Schizosaccharomyces pombe: one gene and its partners. The protein of the gene in region 2 purifies or fractionates together with the protein of the main gene of each other region. This does not show direct contact. Each region holds a gene or a part of one and is shown on either strand. Other genes may lie near its edges.

Region 1 (4,056 bases), on a different chromosome or scaffold from region 2:
AATTGCCCAGCGTCTCTTCCCCCCTACTTCGCTTATTGCTCTTTTAGAGCTGCCTCCTGTAATTCACCCTTTGAGTTGTGTTCCTGTTGAATTTCAGCTGACCGGTGTAAAACCTGAAAACTCCAAGGTTGGTTGGCGCTTAACGAAGATTTCGTGGAGAATAGAAGAACAGATAAAAGCTCAAATAAATGGTTGCTCGACCCATACTGGGACAAAAAAGCCATACATTTTCAAGGAGACTCGGCTGTTGGGAAATAATGAACATAAGTCTGGTTGGAAAGAAGATGGCGATAGAATTATCTTCGAGATCCCTATCAGTACATCTTTACTTTCAAAGCCTATTTGTGATGTTTCCTTTGATGGACAATTCTCTCTATATATTGCCCATCAACTAATTCTTGAGACTATAGTCGTCGAAGTGATGAACTCGCATCCCATAAACTCGAATGCCCGAATTTTAAGGATGAAGGTCAATTTACCTTTGACTGAACGAGGTGGTCTTGGTGTTAGTTGGGATGAGGAATGCCCCCCAATGTTCAATAGTGTTGGACCCAGTCCTCCTGCATATGAGCAAGTTGCTAGATCCTCTCCCACTGATATTCCACTACCTCCACCTTCATGTCCTACAAATGTTCAAAGAGATTGATTCGAATTTTAGTTTCTTCCGTCAATTTTGTTTTTTTATCTTTCTGTTTTAATTGGGCTTGTTTTTTCATTTCAAAGATTTGTGTATCTTTATATGACTTGAACGGTAATTTTTTGACCTTTACTAAGCTTGGATGATACAACAGGATTTCCATTAAAGGTTGCTTAACGTTTGTTCAAATTCCGCTTTTTTATTTCTCTTTCCTGTAGATTAATCTAATTCTAAACCGTCAATTAAAATACTCACAGAATATCTAAGTAGACAAAGTAATGTTTCTCGTAAGATGATTTTGCTTAATTTTTCTTATTCCTTTTCGATTGACTTAGGACAAATTTGGCATAAATGTCTGCTTGCCTGATCGGTTCCGGTACCCTGCTATGAGAGCTACTGCATTTCTGTACGAGTTGGATAGACTGTTCTAAATTCATTTGGTTACCGATGCTAACATAAACTGGGCGTTTCGAGTTACTGCTTGTCCATACTGCAGCGCCCAGAATCTCAGAAGATTGATCAATCGAGTGAATCAATATTGGATGATCAGTTGTTTTCTTTAGCACGTGTTTCTTTAAAGTTTCACGATGTGCATCTAAGCTTTCAGTCAAACCCACGCAATGTAAGTAATTTTTCGCGACGCCAACAACGGGAAGATTCAACAACACACCTAAATGGCAAGCCAATCCAAATCCTAAGTTGAGTTAGATATAATTAATAATATCCTTCATTGAGAGTGTCTCCTTGAAGTAAATAGATTGTTTACAGAATCTTACTTACCGACAGGATGCAATACGCCATTTCCATCTACTAAAATGATATCAATTCGAAATTGATGAGGAATGTGATTTAGCAATGGCAAATACCATTTAATTTCTCGAAATGAAAGAAACCCGGGAACATAGTCCTCTTCTAATTTCTCAATGCACAAATAATCTTTATAAATAATCATACGTTGTTCTAAATCATAAATAACAAGGGCTGAGACAGCCTTTGGACTTGATTTATCAAAAGAGATATCCAATCCTACAACATATCTTATTTCATTCAAACTTTGAAATTTGGGAATTAGCTGCAACATCCCTTTAAGTTCAATTTGCTGTTGGCGCCATATCGTTAACTTATCATGCAAATTGTCATTATTCATAATATACAATTGATCTTAAAATCATTTAGGTGTTTTTTAATTTAAAATAAACCGGTCTTTTCTGGGGCTTGAGTTGAGTACGAAAACCACGAAGTGAAAAGGTAGAAGTTCCCACATATGAGATTTAGACGCGAAATGTCAATTAATGTAATGAGATATCTAAAATATAAATTACTGTAAAAGAATTAAATTGACAAAGCGTAAACGAATACGCTATCATTTTTGGGATCTCATCGGTGTGTATAAAAAAGAAGTAGTGACTTCACTCACTTCCTCTTAACCCATATCATAGGAGTTGATAATTGGATCACGTTGACAGGTTTTGATTTCTCTAGGCGACATTTACTATTGTAATTAGTTTTACTCTCATATAAATAGTTTTGGAGTAATACCTGTGAAAATTGATATTCAGATTATTTTAAATTCTAAGTATACTTCTGCTTGAGCTCACGGAACAAAATGTCATCCAGAGAGGAAGTAGTTAATTTTGCTGCCGGTCCTGCCGCTATGATTACCTCTGTAGTTGAGGAATTTGGAAAGGACTTTGTCAATTTCCAGGGCCTTGGCATGGGTGTCGCTGAAATTTCCCATCGCAGCAAGCAAGGTTCCGGGATCGTTACTTCTGCTGAATCCAATTTTCGTAAACTTTACAATATCCCCGAAAACTTTCATATTTTATTTATGCAAGGCGGTGGTACAGAACAATTTGCCGCTTGTCTTTATAATGTTTATGCACACCATGCCCTCAAGAATGGCAATGCTAAATCTCTTGTTGCAAACTATATTATTACCGGAGCCTGGAGTAAAAAAGCATATGCTGAAGCTGAACGCTTAGGCTTCCCATGCCACGTTGCAGTCGATATGAAAGAATTGGCCGGGAAATATGGATCTTTACCAGAGGACAAAGATCTCAAATTTACACCTGATGGCGAAACTTCCTTGGTTTATTATTGTGACAATGAAACTGTTCATGGAGTCGAATTTAATGAACCACCTACAAACATCCCAAAAGGTGCTATTCGCGTTTGCGATGTTTCGTCTAATTTCATTTCAAGAAAAATCGATTTCACCAAGCATGACATAATTTTTGCTGGTGCACAAAAGAATGCTGGTCCTGCAGGAATAACTGTTGTATTCGTCAGAGACTCAGTTCTTGCGCGTCCTACCCCCGCCGAACTTCATAAGCTCAATATCCCTGTCTCCCCTACTGTTTCGGATTATAAGATTATGGCTGATAATCATAGCCTTTACAATACGCTTCCGGTAGCCACGCTCCATGCAATTAACCTTGGCTTGGAATATATGCTTGAGCATGGTGGTCTTGTTGCTCTCGAAGCATCATCAATCGAAAAGTCAAAGTTATTGTACGACACTTTGGATAAGCATGATCTTTATATATCTGTGGTTGAACCTGCCGCTCGTAGTCGCATGAATGTCACATTCCGAATTGAACCTCAGGAGCTTGAGTCTGAATTTTTAGCAGAAGCCGAAAAACATCATCTTGTGCAATTGAAAGGTTATCGCAGTGTAGGGGGAATTCGTGCTTCTCTGTACAATGCGATTTCCGTAGAGCAGACCCGTAGGCTTATTGATCTTTTAGAGTCCTTTGCTAAAGCACACTCTAACTAACCTTTTTTGATTCTGTCTTAAGTTTTTGATTTAGATATAAAACACAATAGATGTGGGAGCTGTTGGTCCTAAGTATCATATTTATGAGGATAGAAATGTATTAACGTAAAATCTGTATTAACGAAAGTCAGTTTCAAAATCACCGCTTAAAAGCTTCATTAACGTATTCAGTAATCAAAGCTGCAGCTTGAAAAGTAAATTTGGTGATTTGAGGATATTTACGAGTTTTAAGACATTCTGGGCTTCATGTAAGTTTCAACAACAATATCAGCTTCTAAGACAGATTATATGTACGCAGAATACCTAACCAACAATTATTACAAGAACAAATTTTATTCATAAGAAGTTGATTGAAATTATTTTTTGGAAGTCGTAACATTATCGGATTGTCCCACCTGATACCATTTCAAACTAAATATAAAACTTTTCAAGAGACGAATAATGGGGAAAACTCTTATATTTATTAAGCTAAGCAGCTTAAATGAGTGTATTAAATATTCTACGATAATATCGAAAATTGCGAGAGAGCTTAGCATTCATAAAGGCAATGAATTATATATCTGGGTAAGTTGCTCTGAAATGTGTCAGAAAAGAACGAAGCATTTGTTTCGTGAGTTGCAAAATGCGCTTTGTGAATTATATC
Region 2 (3,208 bases):
GTTCGGCATCAACTGTGGTTTGTTGGAAGTCCAAAGGAAAAGAGGCATTTGAAACAGACTTTGTAGATAAATCACTACATTCGTAACCAATGATACCCATAATTCCGCCGTAAAATGGCAAATTGGTATCTGGCTTAATTGCTTTATGTTGATTCATGAAATCAGCCACTGTGGACCACAAATCGTTGTTTATACGGACAAAGCTATTATCCTTGCAAATTCTAATCTCAGTAGTATTCGTTGCTTTCTCGTAATGTATAATTCGTGCCAAAGGACCTGTTAAAATTCCAAGTATAGAATATCTCCCAGGTTTTTTCGCTGAATCTAAAAAGCAAATTGGATTCCCGCTTTTTTGAATACAATCAGCTAACGCTAGTGGTTCAACCCAAGGGATTTCAACACTGTGAATTTGAAGAGAGGGAGAACCACTTTTAAGAATGAATGCAGCCGGAGAAATATCATACCGATTAAGATTATGCGAGAAACCATTTGCTGATTTTGAAAAGGAATTGACACATTGTATATTAGGAGTATCTGCTAGAGAAAGGAAATTTTTGAAAATTTTCAAAGATTTTGATGACCCAACGCTTTCAGGATGATAAAGTATTCCAAAATGTGGAAACTTTGTAGCCTTAATAGACATAACTATGTTATCTTCATCCGATTGAGCTAATATTTGTAAAGAATCGATGGGAATTTTGTTCGCGTACAAACTGTGGTAACGCATTCCTTTAACCGCTGAAATTCCATCAAAAATGAAAGTTTTTGAAGTAGTTACAGATGACACACGGCCATGCCAAGGAAGATTAGGCATTCTTTCTATAGTGGCACCGTGGTATAAAGCTAATGACTGAAACCCCAAACAAATGCCCATTACTGGGATATTTAATTGCCAAATACGATTCAAAATAGAAGAATATTCGGCAGGATGTCCAGGGCCCGGTCCTACGACAATGGCATCAAATTGAAGTATGTCTTCCCATAAATCAGGACTCATTTTATCCCAATGAACAACAATAACACAGGCATTTTCACTTGCTTTGTAAAGTAAGTCATAAAGGTTAAAAGTGTATGAGTCATAGCAATCAATTAATAAAATTTGTAAACGGTTTGAAATTTCACTCATGATAGATACTAATCAGCTAAAACGACCTTAGATTTACTCAAGAAACATTAATTTTTTAACGATATGATTGAAAAGAGAACTCTGGTATTAAGAGGTTTTAACTTTTACAAAGTAGCAGGAGTAGGAAGTGCGCAAATTAAATTCCAGTTTCCAATTTGTTTAGAAGCTTCTGACATTCTTCGGGATTTTACAAATCATACAATTCCATTTAAGGTAGGAAAAGTGTAGGCTATCTAAAGTTTTATTATTCCGTTTATTTTCAAAGAATAATTCGCAATCAAAAACTTGAAGGCGAGAATAATAGAATGGGAAGCAGTATTTATTTTGAAAACAACCCTTTGAATATGTGCAATTTTCATTGTCAATAGAACATGAAGCAATCAACAAATATATGTATTCTTTTTTGCTTTAATATCATTGATTCACCTATTAATCGAACCGAACGGTAGTAAATTTTATATTAATGCATTTACAGCCTGATCAGCGTAAAGATCTCAATGACAATTGATAGGACGGCTTGTATTACTGTTTTTTTTTTCTAAATCCTGATTAAGCCTGTATGTTTCTTCTATTTGGTTGTCAAGGCTATCACATTTTGTTCATTAAAGGTATTGTCTACTTAATGCTTCTAACGTCAGCAGCTAATTAAAATTATTTCAGTACATATATTCATTTATAAGAGTATTGTTACCATATTAATAATAATAAAAAAATATGGATTTTAAGAGTCGAAAATATAAAATTAAAAAGCATCCGAAGGATTGCAAACTACATGCTAAAAAATACCGGGGTACATTGAATTCAAAAGGGAAAAATGATAATGATTGTTTAATTATGTGTATGAGATGCAGAAAGGTTAAAGGGATAGACTCTTACAGCAAAACTCAATGGAGCAAAACGTTTACATTTGTTCGTGGGAGAACGGTTAGCGTTTCAGACCCAAAAGTGATATGTCGTACCTGCCAGCCCAAACAGCATGATTCAATTTGGTGTACCGCTTGTCAACAAACTAAGGGCATTAATGAATTCTCTAAGGCACAAAGACATGTCCTGGATCCACGATGTCAGATATGTGTACATTCACAAAGGAACGACGGTGATGATAATTTGGAATCTGATAAGTTCGTTGATCCTTTCATAGGTGATGATTCTGACTTAGACGATGATATCTACATTCATGATAAACAAACCATAAACTCAGAATACGCTGACGATGTTTCTGATAATACTGACGAAGAGCGAACTGAAAGCAAGGGGCAACAGGAAAGCAATTCAGCTGAAGAATATGATGATGATGACTCTGATGAAGACAGGATGGAAGAGATATTTCAGCAATTCAAAAAAGAAAAACAAATTGTATAGAGACACGTTTTATATTCATCCTTATTTGAATTATGTAAAGATTTGCTTACGATCCCATTTTATATGATAAATTATAAAGGTCCATTAGTGCTAATGTAGACCTTAAAATATGTTGAATTTAATTTAGATCTTAAATAAATAGATATATGTATATAGTAGTAAAAGGTAAGGAATTGCGAACCCTGATGTAAACACTAGCGTATATTGAACCCATTAGTTTCAAGCAACGCCGTGTCTAATTTTTTTTTTAACTTTTCCCTACTGGAGTATTCCCAAATACATAAGTGATTGAAGCAAGTATGAGAGATAGGAAGTTGATCACTGTCAGGTCCGAGAACTGAGATTCTTAATTGAAAATTATGTGCCCCAGTAGCGGGAATGCGATCGCTTCCTGTGACGAAAATGAGAAAAAGTTTTTGCATTTTTAGCGAATAGTGTGATATCAAATCCCAAAACCAAAGTATTATTTTTCTTTTTGATACGAAAGAGTGGCAGAGATATTTAGATGCAGTCATACTTGGTTCACTTTCAGATATAGAATTTGAAATCGCATTTTGGTCATAAAAATCATAAACGCAGACATTTTTGAGTAGCTCCCAGTCAATAACTTCTTCACTTCCTCTGATCAACTTGCTGATTTCATTGTCTTGAAACAACGATATGGCGTTACCTCCACATACTTTCATAAAGCCATCGAAAAAAGCAGAAAATTGTTTTTTT
Region 3 (5,577 bases), on a different chromosome or scaffold from region 2:
ACATACCTGGTTCAGGAGGAATTTCGTTACCTGTGGAGACATAACTAAGTTTGTTTGCAATTAGAAGTAATCTGCCAAGTTCAGCCGCCTTGTCAGTCCTATATTTTAGACATATTCCAGAAGCACTTTCAAAGGCTTTCGCGATTAAATAATTTTGACTCTGCTCATTCGTGCGATATTTGATACTAAGTTTGGTCTAAATGAAAAAAGTCAGAGTTTGATTATCAAAGATATCATCAACACCATACCGTTTTTGGATAAGCCTCCGTTAATGATTTTGACTGTGTGAAGAACTCATTCACAGTTTGCAGGTAAACCATGGTATAGTGGCTGATGGTAGGATCAACACATCAGGCATGCACCTCGTAGTGTTGTCTGAAACACAACTAAGTTATATTTGAGTCAATCGAAGGTTACTAAAATTGAATATAATTCATCCAAAAAACGTAAAAGCTTTTTTTACTATTTTTTCTACTTTTTGGTATACTATATTGGTTTTTCACGTATAACAAACTACTGAAACTATTAGTCGACAAATCTGTCAACTTAAAACATTCCCCTAATTTATGGTATCAAATCAAGACAATGTACAGAGAAATGATGTTCAAAAGTATCCGATAACTAGGTTTGTAAAGCGAAAGAGCAATGTTGTGCTTAAAAAGAACAAAGGAGCTATGAAATCGAATTCAAATTCACGCAGTAGAGGGAACAAAAAATTAAAAGAATCCCAATTTTCTTCTCGAGATAATTTTAGAACCACTCAAACTCAAGCATCTTCGTCAAGTGAGCCTAGTGATAACACGAACAGACTAGTTCCGGTGGTAATTATTGATAATAATACTCCAAAGAAAGAAGAAAGCAATGCCGAAAAGTTAAAGTTAGATAAAGATTCTTCAAGCGTTAATTATGAGAACCAAATCAGCAAACCGCTTATTACTTTCTCCGATATTCACGAAACCGTCAACGTTCCGTTTCTTTGTTTAGACAAGCACGACTCAAAAAATGAGGTTGCGATTAATTCACATGAAGATTCGCCTGTATGTCTTGAAGATATCACCGGGTCACTGTCATCTACTTATGGCAACGATAGTTTAGGTGAATCCAACTTGGAAGAATTACCCACTAGTGATAAAATAAAGGGAGAAAACATGGGAAGTCGAAAGAAACGAAAAGGATTTGTCATTGATTCGGAGGATTCCGACACTGGAATTCCAAGAGAAGAAAATGTTACGATTACGAGAAAGACGAAGCTGTCTTCTAATATACTATATTCCGATTCTGATACCGAGCGACAGAGCGATTCTGGTTCAAAAAACGTTGCAAGACAGTTTTCTCGAATAAAACGAAAAAGGAAAGTTTTGAGCTCATCTTCTGAAGATGATGAAAGTTCATCTCCTGAAGATTTGTTGAAGCCCATAATTAGATCAACAGAAGAAATGGAGAATTTAAATGAATTAGAACAAGAGGTTCAAGATTTGGACCCTATTGATGAAGGTTTCGAAGAAAAAGTGCCAAGATTTCGAAATCCTTCGAAGAAGGCATTTTATGAAAAACTACATAGTTTAAGAAGTAAGTAATTTTTTTGTTCTTTTATTAACGAATAATTAAGATCGAAGTTATAGCAAACTTGAATCTCTGACTTCCGAAAAATCTGATACATTGATTACCAAATCTGAATTGGCTAATGAATCAGAAGAAGACGATTTTATAGTGGATGATGAGGATACAGAGGTAATGATGAATGCTCGAAGTTTACTTCCTGCAGAGTTTTCAATGACAAGTCATCAAGGTTTAAAAGCACACTTTCGAAACTTTATGATGTTTATAGTTCAGCAGGCTATTGATCCAATAGACGCTTCTGATATATCTGATCATTATTTGTTTAGCCGTCGAACTATTCGTAAACAGTTATATTCATCAGTTGATTCGAATATCATCTCAAGCATTTGGCAATCAGAGTTCATTAAACTAATCAAGACTGTACCAAATATGAAAAGTGCCAAGATCGATGCTACTTATGGCTGTGATGCATGTAATATTCACACCAGAATGTCAACGCAAATTGTTTATTTTAAAGGAATGCCTTATAATGAGCATAACTATAAAGTATGAATTGATTTTCTCAACACTAGCGGGCTACTAACTTTCTAAAGGAGCTAGACAGTTTTGAACCGATCACTAAAGAAGCGTGGATGCTAGGAAACAGTTGCTTTAATCGTGCTAGAATTGCACACAGCATATATCATTGGGAATATAAAGTTAGTCGACATATACAAGTTGAACTCAAATTTCGTGAAGCTTCTAACACTAGCGAGCAAGGAAAAAATATTGTTGAAAGCATATATGAGGATCTTAAGGATTCAAATTTTTTTGAAACGGTAAGTATTCATGAGATATTTATTATTTCTAACTGCTTAGACCTGGGTGGAACTATGCAATTTATTGAAACTTGCAAGTTCTTCATTCGAATCTAATTTCCATAGCCGTTCCTCAATGTAATCTAGAAATTTAGTAAAACAAATTTAACCGATTTGGGTAAAACGGTGCAAGAATTTGATATTTTTTTAGAATTTATTGTGTGATCGGCTCTAATTGTATATTACATAATTTAATATTTATAACTGTTCATTTTTTTTGCAAAATTCTTGTTGCTCTTCTTATAATATATCGCCTTCAAACTCGACTGAAGTACGAAACATACCTATTGTAAAGAAGAAATAATGATATTAAACCTAAGATATAGTTATTTATAGACCCCTTATAAACCCCAATTATTTTCTAGCCTTTTCACGTCGCGCCTTACCGGGACGTTTTTTAGATTTAATGTTTTTAAGACCTTTTCTCCCAAATTCGGTAGCAGCAAGACTGTCGAGATCATTGCTTTTGCTGCGATGCTTTGGACCACCAAATCCATACTTTTCATTTTTCTTTTGTCGCTTCGGATTAGGCTGTGGCCGTGATTTCGTACTACGGCTACCTTTTTTAAATGTATCGGCAGAGGCTGATGAAAGAGCAATATCAAAGTCATCTTCAGTGGTAAGATCTCCTCCAGTATGCTTTCGTTTGAGAAGGTTAATTTTTTCGAGGGTTTCCTTTTTTTCCCGTTGACGCTCTTCTTGTTTAGCAAGCTGAACTTGTTTACCAAACTTCTTGAGTTCTCGTTGTTTCTTAGCTTGCTGGGATAGTTTTTTAGCGGTTGCTTCTTTAATCAACTCTTGACGCACTTTCTCCATGTGGTCATCGGACTTTAACATTTCCGCAAAATAGTCATGAGGTCGGGAAATTAGAACATTCGCCTCACGAAGTTTGGCAAAAGCCGCCTTTACAGAGCTCACACCTTGTTTATAAAAGGCCAGTTCACGGGCAAGATCATCCTCAACATTTTCAATTATTATAGGCTCCTTAGTAGTAACAGCTTGGTTTTCAACAAACGAAATATCATCAGGATATTTAATTCGTTCATAGATGTTCTCTAGTGCAACAGTGTTATTTATAGCTAATTTTCTTTTTCTAATCAAATCAGCGTCTTCTTCCAACTCAATTCCTTCAAGATCAGAAAGTTCAACTTCATCTGATCCCTCAGATTCGTTCTCTTGATCAGCTGTATCAGCTGTTTCAATAATAGGAGATTTAATGGTATTGATCATTTCTTTCTCATTTAATGCCTCAACAGAAGTAGAAGATTCATTGCTTTCCTTGTTTTTCTTTTCCTTCATAGCAGCTTTAGCTGCCTTTTTCTGAGCTCTTCTTTGCTTTGATTCTATTCCTGCCATCGTTGTAGTCTAGTGTGTATTCTACACAAAGCTGAATTTGAATATTTTTCAAAGGTTTTGAAAAATTTGCTTTGTGCTACTTTGATTAATACAATCTACGATTAGGCTAACGGTGACAAAGATTTTTACTATTGCAGTTCACATCAAATAATAAAGAGCACATTTAGAATCGCTAAGCTGATTAACGTTGCGTTATATTACTCTTAGTCTTCATTTAGGTTGTACGGAAGGCATTTAATAAATCCTTAACGTAAATTTTAACCCTTTATTTGTCCGTATAAAATTCGTTGTATCAATTTTAAGCTATAACTTGGTCGCATTTTATCGATTGTAGAGTTATTGCTGATAAATTTATGTTTTGCTACATTACACCAACTCTAATTGAAATGACGGTAATTTAGTAAATTATCAGTTGTGTAAGTAAATTACTATCAGCTTTTTTATGTAGCAAGATGTACAAATACTTTTCAATGGATGGCTTTTCAGTATAACTTTTCCCTTGACTTCCTGATACAATTGTCAAAATAAACAACAGTTCTTTGATTGTTTACGTGGTTACAAAAAACCCCGGTATTGTTCATAAGATGTAAGCTACGCAGTTTGGTATCTGATTTAAGGATACGTAGAACTGCGGTGAGTTTTCCTTGTGATCTATTATATTACAATACACAGGTTGTATAAGTAGCAACTGAGTATAGGTATTGTATTAACTGGGTTATAATGTTAACTATCACTAATATAGCTCATAACTGAACTGAGGAACGAGGTTCAGCAGTAGCTCTATTTATAGTATTCAGATAATATTGATCTTAATAGATTATCATTAAGATCAATCTCCATATCGTATTATACATGGTACGATATATAATTAGAACATGTGACATATAGTGATACTCAACGTAGTGTAGTATTGCTGACATAAGAATACCAAATGCTTGATGCGCTAAATTATGGTATAATAATTTATCGTAAAATTTTCATTTTCATTGTGTTTCGAAAGTATTGCTAAATTTTCTGCTTTGCATGCAAAAGAATCCCACAACAATACACGATTCGACAGTAACATCAGTTGTACATATTATTGTTCATAAAAGATTTTTCTCCTTTGAATAATTCCGCTTAGGTGGATTCTAAATCTAGATTTGTTACTTTTGTGACTGTACTTGTGAGTGACAAAGAAAAACACCAACGGGTTTGTAGCTTTGCAATATCATGTCAAAGCTACCAAGTCCAACAATGCCTCTGCCAGAATCGGTAGGCGACTTGGTTGTTTTGCACTTTGAAACAAATCTTGACGATCACGGCATTAGCATTGGCCGGGCGCCATGTGAAATTCATGAAATATGCTGGGTTATATTAGATGGAAAAACTTTGGAAAAACAACACTGTGAATCGTGTAGTATTCGTGAAGATAGTTCTCGTCATGGAATTTGTGGTTCTGCTAGTTCCTTAACTGAAGCTATCTTCACATTGGATAATTCAATCCAAGAACGATTAAACTTCCAAGGAAAACCTTTTACATTTGTTGTTATGAATGGAAGAGAGCTTCGTGTATTATTGCCAAAAGAAGCACGGGATCAGGGAATTACGCTACCTTCCTACATGCGCCATCCTCGCTTGTTTGATTTATCAAGCGAATACGCCAAGTGGCAGATTCGCATGGGTGCAGTACCACCATACACAATAACGCTTTCTCATATTTTTGGTAAATTAGATGTCGACTCTTTACCACCTATTACAGAGTCAAAAGCAATTGAATTATCACCTTCAGATGCTCCTTACATAACCAAAGGTCTTACTCAAT

What was found.
Region 1: the proteins of stc1 (region 2) and ser1 purify together in Schizosaccharomyces pombe (affinity purification with mass spectrometry, with the first as the bait; one large-scale study listed by BioGRID). This does not show direct contact.
Region 3: the proteins of stc1 (region 2) and ebp2 purify together in Schizosaccharomyces pombe (affinity purification with mass spectrometry, with the first as the bait; one large-scale study listed by BioGRID). This does not show direct contact.

The regions. Positions count from the first base shown.
Region 1 is NC_003424.3:3,813,610-3,817,665, forward strand, and holds ser1 (phosphoserine aminotransferase), read left to right. Parts: upstream 1-2,062; 5' UTR 2,063-2,243; coding exon 2,244-3,413; 3' UTR 3,414-3,556; downstream 3,557-4,056. Other genes in the region: arrestin-related substrate adaptor Any2, read left to right, coding at 1-646; SPOM_SPAC1F12.06C (DNA repair endonuclease), read right to left, coding at 940-1,331, 1,418-1,784; cab4 (cytidylyltransferase), read left to right, coding at 3,855-4,056.
Region 2 is NC_003423.3:3,690,481-3,693,688, reverse strand, and holds stc1 (CLRC complex-Argonaute linker protein Stc1), read left to right. Parts: upstream 1-1,773; 5' UTR 1,774-1,840; coding exon 1,841-2,488; 3' UTR 2,489-2,681; downstream 2,682-3,208. Other genes in the region: abz1 (para-aminobenzoate synthase), read right to left, coding at 1-1,126; mug30 (ubiquitin-protein ligase E3), read right to left, coding at 2,683-3,208.
Region 3 is NC_003424.3:2,011,128-2,016,704, reverse strand, and holds ebp2 (rRNA processing protein Ebp2), read right to left. Parts: upstream 3,891-5,577; 5' UTR 3,774-3,890; coding exon 2,772-3,773; 3' UTR 2,500-2,771; coding exon of another isoform or gene 2,419-2,499; 3' UTR 2,379-2,418; coding exon of another isoform or gene 2,154-2,378; 3' UTR 2,107-2,153; coding exon of another isoform or gene 1,610-2,106; 3' UTR 1,570-1,609; coding exon of another isoform or gene 567-1,569; 3' UTR 501-566; downstream 1-500. Other genes in the region: signal recognition particle subunit Srp21, read right to left, coding at 7-196, 249-320; SPOM_SPAC17H9.06C (uncharacterized protein), read left to right, coding at 567-1,569, 1,610-2,106, 2,154-2,378, 2,419-2,499; RNA-binding protein involved in heterochromatin assembly Dri1, read left to right, coding at 5,010-5,577. UniProt on the Schizosaccharomyces pombe protein: Required for the processing of the 27S pre-rRNA.